Linked DNA regions of Drosophila melanogaster. Each later gene encodes a partner of the first gene's protein in a complex. Each region holds a gene or a part of one and is shown on either strand. Other genes may lie near its edges.

The links.
Region 2: CSN5 (region 1) and CSN7 share a complex: the UniProt entries of both Drosophila melanogaster proteins name them as parts of the CSN complex.

The regions. Positions count from the first base shown.
Region 1 is NT_033777.3:16,468,000-16,473,004, reverse strand, and holds CSN5 (COP9 signalosome subunit 5), read right to left. Parts: upstream 2,907-5,005; 5' UTR 2,827-2,906; coding exon 2,566-2,826; intron 2,513-2,565; coding exon 1,936-2,512; intron 1,877-1,935; coding exon 1,731-1,876; 3' UTR 1,599-1,730; downstream 1-1,598. Other genes in the region: CG42232 (uncharacterized protein), read left to right, coding at 3,598-3,771, 3,834-4,055, 4,129-4,172, 4,330-5,005. UniProt on the Drosophila melanogaster protein: Probable protease subunit of the COP9 signalosome complex (CSN), a complex involved in various cellular and developmental processes.
Region 2 is NT_033778.4:8,418,809-8,424,813, reverse strand, and holds the start of CSN7 (COP9 signalosome subunit 7), read right to left. Parts: upstream 3,782-6,005; 5' UTR 3,704-3,781; coding exon 3,518-3,703; intron 3,458-3,517; coding exon 3,205-3,457; intron 1-3,204. UniProt on the Drosophila melanogaster protein: Component of the COP9 signalosome complex (CSN), a complex involved in various cellular and developmental processes.

The sequences.
Region 1 (5,005 bases):
TTTCACTTTAAAGTCTCCGTTTAATATTCAATCGCCGCCTTGTAAGTTTTTAAATTTCCTTAATCGCGTTGCTTGTGATTCACTTTAAATATGCACTATTACTCTGCTAACTTATTTACAACTTGAAATTTACAACTGAAAATTCAATAGATTCCCACACAATATGAAGGAGCACATATGCTGGCTAAAGTTCCCAAGGCACTAAACGCACGTATAGCACTCGGAGAATAGGTTTTCCATTGCTATTACTTTGATTTTTATTGGACGAAAGCGCACGAGGAGGATGCTGTAGATGCTGGAATGACGTCCCTCGGCTTGGACTGTATGTGTGTATCGCGAATGGGAAGCTTTCTAACTGGCATCCAGGAAGCTTTCTAACTGGCATCCAGGACGCGAATGAAGCGCCTGTCGTTCGTCGCTGGGACTTTTATAGCACCTCGGCAATCGTTGTAGACTCATCCTTCCCATTCGCCAAGCGGAGGGTCTAACCCCCTTTGGCAGTGTTACATTTCATGTCAATGCTCCTTGTTGATGCCAATTGACGGTTACTTTTCGATATAATGTCTGAAAATGAAAGTTTTATTGCCTTACCACCAATAACTTACACGCACAAACGCAGTCCTCGTTGGTTTTGTCACGTAAATCTTTATAAAGGTTCTCGTTTGCTTACTCCAAGTGCGTTAATATTTCTTGTTATTTTGTTTATCTCCCTTTTTGATGTGGCATTTTTGGACTTGTTATGCGCCACAATTTACATTTACATTTAAGAGGATTTAAAAATTCCACAGAATAAATCCTGCACAAGCACACAAATGTTGACATTTTAATGGGCATTCCTTGCAGGAGTGATGATAACGGTTAAACAGGACTTGTATTTGCCTTGGCGCCCCCTCCCCCCTTTTTTTTTTTTGATACTTCACAGCGGCCATAAACGTGACAGCGTATTTAATTAGCGCCCTTCGCAAGCGGCCCCCTTCCTGTCCCTTCAAATTGATTGGGCCACGTGCTGGAAGGGCGTTGACATCTCACTTGTAGCTCTCGCTCCCAGGAGCAGACAGTAGACTACGGGTCTGTCAGGGAAACCCTAGAGCCCATCGGCAAACACGCAATCGGGGAATACAAGTTGTAAAATAAACCAAACGATGAAAATAATGAAACCATTTGATTGATGAGAGGGACGCATTCGCGGCTTGGCTTGTATAGCTAACCAGGCTGTGTAATATTTACTTTAAAAATCCCGAAGCAATTAGGGAATGTTTCAGTCGGTGGGCTTCAGTTGTTGCTTTGAGACCGGCTCGGGTTACATAATTCTAGACCAATTGATTTACCCAAGCATCACATTTTCGACAATGTTTTATCGCCATGTCCAATTATTTTATATTCTATAAATGTCAAATGCAGAAGCGTTTTTTATTTAACAATAAAAAGGTTTGTTTATCTGAAAGAATATAATAAATGGTGGATCGGCTGTTTTTCGTCCAGGCGAATAAAAGTTTCAACTTTTACTATGCCTTCCGTCGTCTAATACATAAATAACGAAAACAGTTTCTCTACAAAAAAGAACCCATTTTAAAAGTAAAAGCGTTTGAGATTTTTTTCATCAGCCTATGAGGCGGTTTTATAATTTCCTTTTTCTTTTGGATAAGCTTGACTTACTTAAATATTTCCCAGGGAAATGAAAAGAAAATTCACAATGCATTTTAAAATTCATTGCGAATTTTAGTGTTGAACTATTTGCCCAGTCCGACCTTGTTGAAAAGTTTGTCCTTAACAATCTGAGCCATCAAGCCGTGTATCAGTTCAATGGTGGAGCGGCTGCAGTCTCGGGTGGCCTTGGACAGCTTATCCTCCGAACGCTTCTCATTGACATCGGTTCCTGTGGATAATAAAGCGGGTAAATTATTTGCACAATTCCTAAATCGACCCATTATGTACCGCGACCTAAAAAGTTCTCACTCTGCTCCAGCTTCTCGGAGAGATCCATGATCTGACCGGTGGTGTACTCTGTGTTGGTGAGCAGACCCGAGCTGCCCAGTGTGTTTACCCAGTATTTGTTCCACAGAGAGTCGAGGAGCCTGCGGTCCAGAGCAGACTTGAAGTAGCTAATTTCCAAGGGATAGTACTGCTTGCAGTGGACTCCAAAGTCTTCGATCTTATTCAGCGGGATGGTCTGATACTCCGAGGGCTCCTCGTTTGGTGGCTTATAACCTTTTGGATACGTGCGGAATGCACCCAGACACACCTTGCCAGCGGAAACAGTGCGCACCGGATCAACCACAATGGCCACGAATGGCTCCTGGTATGTCTGGTTGAGCATCTGGGTGGACACATCGATGCCGGACAACCAGCAACCGTAACCGGGATGGCTGTGATACCAGCCCACGGCGTGTTCCATGCGTCCCACCTCTTTGGCCGCTTCCATGTAGGCGGTCATGTACTCGTACGCTTGTGCCTGGGCATTGACGCGGGTTTCAGTGCCCTCCACTGGCAGTGCAAATGCATCCATGACAATCTGCACGGGAATGACTTATAAATTGAGGACCTTTTTTACATTCAATAACTCACCATTGTGTTGTCCTCTACCTTGCCAAGCATTAGACCCATCACCTCCAAAGTACCGCCAGAGCGAGCGTGCATCACCATCTTTAGGAGCGCCAGAGCCGAGATCTTAATGTCCTTAAAGAAGTGGGGATCTTTCTCCCAGGGCTTCGCATCGATGATCTGCCGCTGCTGTTCGGCGTCGTAGCGAAAGATCTCGTCACAACTGGGCAACGTCTGGATGTTGTTCTCCAGCTCCCAGGTCTTTTGTGCGGCGTCGGAGTCCATTGTGATTGTACTTATGCCGAAAATTGTAGTCTTTTGTTGCAAGTTTTTGTTTTCCGGCTCAATTCTAGAGATGAACTTGTCGGTACCATCTGTACAATCAATTTCATGAAGGTACAATCGATATTTTTTATAAATCGATTATTATAAGTTAAGAAATTAAAATATTGATTAAAAAATTTAAAATTTATCTATATTAACAATTTATTTGTTTAATAAATAAAATGTATTTTTAATCGTTAATTTTTTACCAAGGAAAGTTTTTTAATTTAATTTTTCTGTTTACGATACGCACTCTAATTTGCAGCATTTTTGACTAAAAAAAACTTAAAACCTTATTTCATAGTGACAAAATGATTCATCGCAGTATCTGTAATCTGTATCTTTCTTTTCACTTCTTGAGATTAACCATTATTAATAATCACATAATATAAACCACTTTTAATTCAAGTAAGTTGTCAGTTCCTGCACCCCGAATTTTAAATGTAACGCATAAGCCGGCGCATTAAAAGCAGGTTGGCAGGGCTTGCGCGTCCATTGCAAAAAAATTCCTGCACAGAGTTTTCGCTACAATTAACTTTGGCAAGCTCGTGATGTGGGCCGTAAAAACAGTGTCTGGTGGAAAAGTGTGAAAGAAATCAGTGAATAGTTTGTGGGTGTTTTGTGTACGTGCATTTACCGTATTATTCCCAATAGCTTTGCGGCTTTTCAAAGTGCTCGCTTCGGTATTCGTTTTCCCCGCACCCAAGCCGCATTTGCGACGCCGCTTGGAAAATGTCGCTGGATGGCGGTAGGTTGCGCTACGAAGACGAAAATGGTAAAACCGTGGTTCTGGCAGCCAAAGGGCGCACCTTCCAGGTGGGCTCCTACTACAATTGCGACCTCATCCTGGAGGGGCCAGAGGAGGAGCGTCTAATTTGCGAAATAAACTGCGATGCCTTCGGCAGGGTGAGTCTGGATGGCAGGAATCCCCCTTAACCGCCCTAACATACTGCTTCTTCCGCCCTTAGGTCATCATATACAACAAGTCCAGCGGAGACCCCATTCATCTCAACGACGTGGCCATCCACGCTGCAGGCAAGCGTCCTTTGCTACACGGTGGCAAGATTACCATTCGAGACAAGGTCTACACGTGGGAGTTCCCCAAGACCTCCGAGGTGCAGGATGCCCCATGCACCCCAGAACGCCTATTGCCCAACGAACAGGCCTCAAACTCCTGCCCTTCATTGAAGGTAATAGCCGCCATCTGTTCCAGATAGTACAGTATTCCAAGTCCTACAATTTCCCCATTTTTATTTGATTTAGCAATCGCATCGTCTACAAGCCGAAAAACGCCTGACAGTTCACAAGTAAGTGAAAACAGCAGGCAGACCCCTAACCGACTACCTGGCCAACCCCTAAAATGTCTTTGGGCAACAACAATAGGAAAAAGTCCCTACTGCAAGCATGTGTTGTCTGCCTGTTAATAGTCCTCATAAAACCTTATCTCTGCTTATACCTTTTCAGTTTTCACTACAGCATCAATTCGGACGACGAAGGAAATACTTCTATAGAGTCTCGTGATCAGAGTGAGTCTCACTTGGAGGATGTCTCACTGAATGAATCAATTCAGCGCAGCACAGAGGAGACAGCTTACGAGTCCCCCAAAGTAAATCTTCTGGAGGCTACGCAGAATAAGGAGAATACCGCAACGCCACCAGGTAGCCACCAAAAGCTACTAAGGCTGTGCGCCATCTCCGACGTGGTTATTACCTCTTATTCGCCGCGCGAGACTGGCGTGAAGATCGAGAAATCCTTTTCATGTGTTCGAAAACCTGGCTACACCACGACGTCTTTGGCTGTTTCCACGCCCAAGAGCGTATACAGCACCCCCAAGGGCAATGTGCTCTCTGAACTAAACGAAGACAGCTGCAGCCGAGATCTAATGGACTTTAGCACGCCATCCACCTCAAAAAAAACCAAGCGGGATTCGTCCATGTTCCTGATCGACCTGACCACCCCATCAAAGCTACGACAAACACCCAAACAGACGCTTGGATTCAAGCTCACACCCAAACAGACGCCTATCAGTGTAGACAGCACCGACGAATCATCAGATGCATCCCCATTAGTCATAGACATAACTAACTCTGACACCCCGCCATCAGCAAGCCCTTCGCAACGGTATAAAACTCCTAAGCGT
Region 2 (6,005 bases), on another chromosome or scaffold:
CAGCAGCTCTTTTGGGAACCCCGGGGCTGCAACCGCAAGCTAGCGGACTGGAAACTTGTGCCATCAATATAAAGCTGCTGCAAAGTTTTCACCTAAAACTGACAAAGTGCTCAGCGCAGCCACCCACAGACACTCGCCCTTCTCAAAGTTTTCCGGGCAACCCACTGCAATGGGCTCCCGGCGCCGAAATCTATGCAATCAGAAGCAGCTGCAAAATCGGCGGGTCCCGAGGAGACGGATACGTCCGGATTTAGAGCGGGGGCAGCAAATTATGTCCGAACTGCGTCTCTTTTGGGTACTCGGCTCTGCGGCAAGGTCGCGGCTTGTTCATTAAGGTAAACTGGCCTTTGATGTAACAGCTTTTCAGAGGATAAAAGCCGCTTTCCATGCAGTGTTCCCGTCATTGGAACACTGTTAATTAACCGATTGCGAAAGGGGCTTACACTTTTTGCGGCCTACTCAGAAAATGTTATGCACAAGTGGCCAGCGCTTTGGTACTTCGCCGTGCATCCCCCAAACAAATTCATCCCACTTCTCTCAGAATTGCAAATCCCCCGGCCCGGTGGAAAGCTACTTCAAAAGCCGCTCTTAAGCACCCTGAATTATGCGAAACTTTTCTTTGACACACAAAAGAAATTAAAGAAGTGCACCAAAAAACTAAAATCAAGAAGGCGCATTCTGCGACACATTCTGTAAATCCCAGCAACTCGACACGGCAACAGCGAGGGTGCAATCCTCGGTGAACTCGGTGGCATTCCGAACCACCACTCTCGCCTCGACATGAGTGCACAAACTGTTTTGCTTATATTCGTGCGATTCCCAGCATACAGCTACTGGTGCCGGGATGTTATTGCATAAAAAGTAGTTCGAAGCAGTTGGGAAAATATTTGAAAATGCCTGGGAGATTGAAAACCACAGAGGCTGTTCTGGTGGGGAATGCTCGACTTATCGATTTTAGGAGCAGATGCCAAAGACTCTCGCTTACAATACATTTTTGAGGGCGGTTATCCGCACTCTTACTCTTATTTTTACAACTTAATTAACATTCGTAGAACTGCTATGAAAGAAAGAGCAAAGAACTAAAATACAAGTTAAAGCACATGATGTTGTCTAAATATCCTCAGAGGTAACAAAACTTAACTTGAGGGAATACTTATTATTATTACTTATTATTATTATATCTGAAATAAATTTAGGTACTATTAATGTAAACCAAACACTGAGCAAAGCCGAAACAATCAAGAGCTGTCCCACTAATGGAACGAGCCGAAATGAATTTCTGGCGAATTTGAATTCTAGAAGGCATTTAATTACCATATCCCCAACCCAGCGTCCTGGTAGACAAATGATGCTCTAATGGGATGACCTGGAATCGCGACGAGAGAACCACTCAACCTGCCCGCCGGCTAATGGAGGCCCCGCTCCGTTGCCAACTACATTAAATTGCGATGTCAGATTACGGCGCCTAATAGAACGCAATGATTTCGCATTCCGCCAGACATCTGGCACTTGGCCTCCTGCCACCCGCAATGATGCTCTAATGATGGCTATCATAACATAAATCTTCGCTGGGGCGGGGGAATTTATTTGTCTGTTCATTGCCTGGATTTGGAAAGCAATTAGGAAGGGCAGGTGAGACGATGTTGCGAGGAGCAGATGGCGTTGAGTTGTCACTTTATTTGCTTACATAATGGACGTCCAAGAGTCCATTAAAAACTTCTGCACGCTATTTGCTTATCCAGCGCTAATGTTCTGGTACGTATGTTTAGATTGTTTCATACGTCGAGTGGGCACTTGTCGGGAGCCGCTGAAAACCGAACAGGACTAACCAAAAATCCGCCTGAAAGGCTCGTTTTCCAGCCCCATATAGCACAGCCTCTGTTTGTTTTCATTCCGGTCCATAGATCACAGGCCAAAGCTCAAAAATCAACAGCACCAACAAGTTTAGCACCACATTCGAGGGCCCTAAGTATGCTTACACGGACGATGTTTCCGAGTGCGATATTTGGGCCCCGGCTTCTGGGTGTTGCGTTTGATTTAAGGCTTTCAGCAGACATACAATGCAGACTGGGTCCTCGGTCCGGAACTACAAGTGCAAATTGTGTAAATATGCAGCTGTGCCGGCGCACAGTGATGGATTTCAAGTTTCTATGCAACAGTGGGCAAATTATGCACATCATCTACCAACAATCGTCTCCTATATGCGAGTCATAGCAACAGCTAATTGCCTGTTAGTTTCAAATGCACAATTTAGGCTACAAGTCTCTATTAGGATTCTAAGAATTGTATGCACTGATTGTAATCGTATCAAATTACTCCTATTTAGGTACATACAAAACTACTAATGGTCAGCATCTTGACAAAAGATTTTCCCACAGTTGGAAATATTTACGATTTGTGATTCCTCACCTTACGCTTGGAGCAAACTTTTTATGTGGCAATTACGTAGCGAAGTTTGATTGTAGGCGGCCACCACTGAGGCGTGAGCTCAAAAAGGAAATCATCGAGGCAAAAGTGTTCATCCAGCTGACGACGTCGGCAACAGTAAAAACTGTTTCCCCGCGGGGATGAGTTGGGCAGAATCAACTGGTGGGGCGCCATAACGAGTGGCTTAATGAATCTTGCCGAGCATAATCCTCGTTTCTTCGCCCAATTGTTTTCGTTTGCCAGGATGCGCCAGCTGTCCCGGCTAATCAAGTGCACTGCCCAAAGGCGGTGGCCGGGGTGTGGTGGTCTGGAATGGGAGGCGCTAGACGGCAGCACAACTTTATGAATCTACTGCTTTCACAGCTGCTGGGCCGCCGGCGCAGGTGTACAGCTGCTGAAAAATGCTAATTGAACGAGGAGGCGCCCTTTCCATGGTGAGAAGTAGTCAAAAATTAGCATTTGATTTAATAATGCAAGCTGAGGAGCGAGGCAGGGTCGAGATTTGTCAGCTTGGCACTGAATTGGCTGGACTTTCAGCTGAAAAATGAATACGTTTTTAACCCAAAAGGAAAAGGAGGAAAGCTTTTTTTGTTGAATGCCCTAGTAACCGTGAAATCGATTTCATGCGAAAAGGGACTTTTTTTTTTGACTTTTGAGAGGTGGAAACAACTGTTTTATATGAGTTTTGCGCAAATAAAAGTAATGCAACATTGTATAGACTACATCGGGGCTGTAAAGTTGAAACCTAGTTGAATCTATCCACCTAGGCGAACTCACCCGCGTAGATGGCCTCTATGATGATATCCTCCAAGTGGCGGACGTTGTCGATCTCCAGTTCGCTGAGCAGCAGGGCATAGGGAATGCTCTTTGCTTTAATGGCCAGCGAGACGATAGTCAGGTGCTGCAGCTTCTTCTGCATGGCAGGAGTCAGCTCGATGAACTTTTCCGGCTGTGCACGGTATTCCTTGTATGTGCCGTATGCGAATAGGTTCAGGGTCTCGAAGTGCTTGGAGTCCGGACCGTCTTTAAGCTATGTGTGGTTTTGTGGTTGGTAAGTTACTGCCAGAATGTGTTTCATTGATGGACGCACCTGCAAAACGGATGGCTCCGCCAGTAATTCGCCAAAAACAAAGACATTCGGGGCTTCCAGGGCCTGGCGAATCACATCCAGCAAAGCGGCGCCGGTGGATGACTTGGCCAGGACACAGAACTTCTCCAGGAACGTCTCCTTGCTCTTGCTCGGCTCCTCGTTGCCCAGCAGCATGTCCTGCGTCATTTTGATAACTTCAAGTTGGATAATTTGTTTTTAAATTTTGGGATTGTTTTGATTTTTGCAAGCACAGTGCCAGTGTGACCGTTCATCGATGGCCAAATTATATCGACCGAAGTTTATCGAAGTTTCAATTCATTCTATCTTATTAGTGTAATGAGTTCTAACTATTTCTTACTACGCACATGACAGGACATACTTACGATTTAATTATTGTATATCTAGCCATAAAAACAAATTACAGTTTTTATAAAAATATTATTTGTGTTGCCCTATAATAAAATTAGTTTAAATTACAGTGCAGAGTAAATATACTAAATTTGGTACGGTAAACAGAATTAAGGTCACACTATTATGTCTCTTGCACAAGCTGACTGCCATAAAAGTGGGCGCCAAGCTTAAACAATCTGAAGTTGGTCAGGCCCTGTGTGAAAAAGTAAATTAAAAACTTAAGATTTATGCAACCTTAGCCACAGATACTAACCCGTTCATTATGCTTATGATTATTTTATGTTCTTTGGGGATACCTCCTCGTTCGCTACATTGTTTTTTTCTAATAACAGCCTAGCATTTGCACTCACCTCTTGGAAATGTTGGTCATTATGTTAAAGCAGGGCATCCCCATTTTAAAACACTTTTCGCTCCACATTCCATCCGGCGGCACACACAGACGCACCCTAGGGGGCTGTATAAAAAAAGGAGAGAAGAGGGCGGAAACGGCAGGCTGGGCCTAAAAAAATATATTCCTTGAGCTACTTTGGACTGCCAAAACTTTGCGCCAGCCACACTTGCTATTATTGCTGTGGGTAGGGGCGGATATGCGAATACGAGTATAAAAAGGCTAGGGTCAAAGTTGAAAACCCTTTATTGTGTCTGGGGGGTTGACTTCGGCATGGAAGTGGGAGTGAGCGTGATTGGGACCGCCATTCCCTGTATGAGATGCGCCAGCTCATCGATTATGAAAAGTTAACTAAAGGTCAGGGACCCACGGGGATACACACACTCACACACAGGATCTCACAGGAAAAAGGTGAGCCCGAGCCTTAAAGATACTGCGTCTGTTTTAAAATTGCCCACAGCACAGTGTTCAATTTTACAGCATATTTTCCACTTGTATCGCTTTGTTTTCCATACCTCTTGTAATGCCGACACTTCGACAGAAATTGACCGGACTGTTTTGTAATTTTTCCAATTGGATTGGCACGCCTACCGACCACTCTACCCACTCTACCCACCATCCTTCCAAATTTTATGGGATTTTGCCAAATTTGCCAGTACGCAGCCATTACAAAATTGGTTGTGATTTTGATTCTGTTGCGTGCGTTCGGCTGCAGATTCGCTTTTGGCTTCCATCCGGAGCGGCGGATGTGGTTCTTCTCCTGCGGCGACTGCTATCCGAATTGCATCCGGGATTAGTTTGCGTTTGAAACATTTTTGGAATAATGCGAAATCCCGCTGCCTTTACTTCGTTCGCAATTTTGCGGGTTGCGTGCGCAAAGTTGCGCCCATCGAGGATATTCGCTCGCCAACCGACGAAAGCCTGTGGCCATTCTTGCGATGGACCACTAGTGGTCAGCAGGTGGGGATTGGAAATTACTTAGAAGATTGGGCAGAGCGAAAAAAACGTTTTTGGTTTGCAACAGAAGAACACTAAGCTGAAATTAAATGGTAACGTTCAGGTTTCCCATGTTTCGGTATTAATCTATGAACAAATGGAAGTAACGAATACCAACTGAGAAATGGAACATATTATAAAAAAGATATAACATTTTAGGTTTTAAGTTAGTCCAGATGTTTTTGGTGGCATGACCATATACATATATGGTCTCTGGCTGGAATTTCCGCATAGGGTAAGCTATAGTAGACTTTCCGCCTTGCCGCTGATTCTCGCAGTTTTGAAAAGCTCTTTGTCACGGCGGCAAACTTTACCCGCTCTGCTCCGTGTTCTGGTTTTTTGTGGATTTCACTTTGTCATTAATTTGACGCACAATGAGTCGGCAGTTGGCAGGTTGTTCGGGTGTTCAGTTTCCCGGGATTTCAATCCTATTTCCGAGATTACCGAACGAGGGCGTTCAATTTCATTTGCGGGCAAAGCAAGGACGTCATTTGCCCAATTCATGTACTCCATCGTCGGTTCAGCTGGGACCGAGCTTTAAAATTAATTACACTTTTTGCCTTCTGAATCCATCATCGGCTTGCACATTAAAATCATTGGCGGGGATCACCCGCCCTGCCACGCCCATCGCCGCCCATGCCCCGCCCGACAATTTGCTTACTAGCCCATAAAAATGTATGAAAATAAAATATC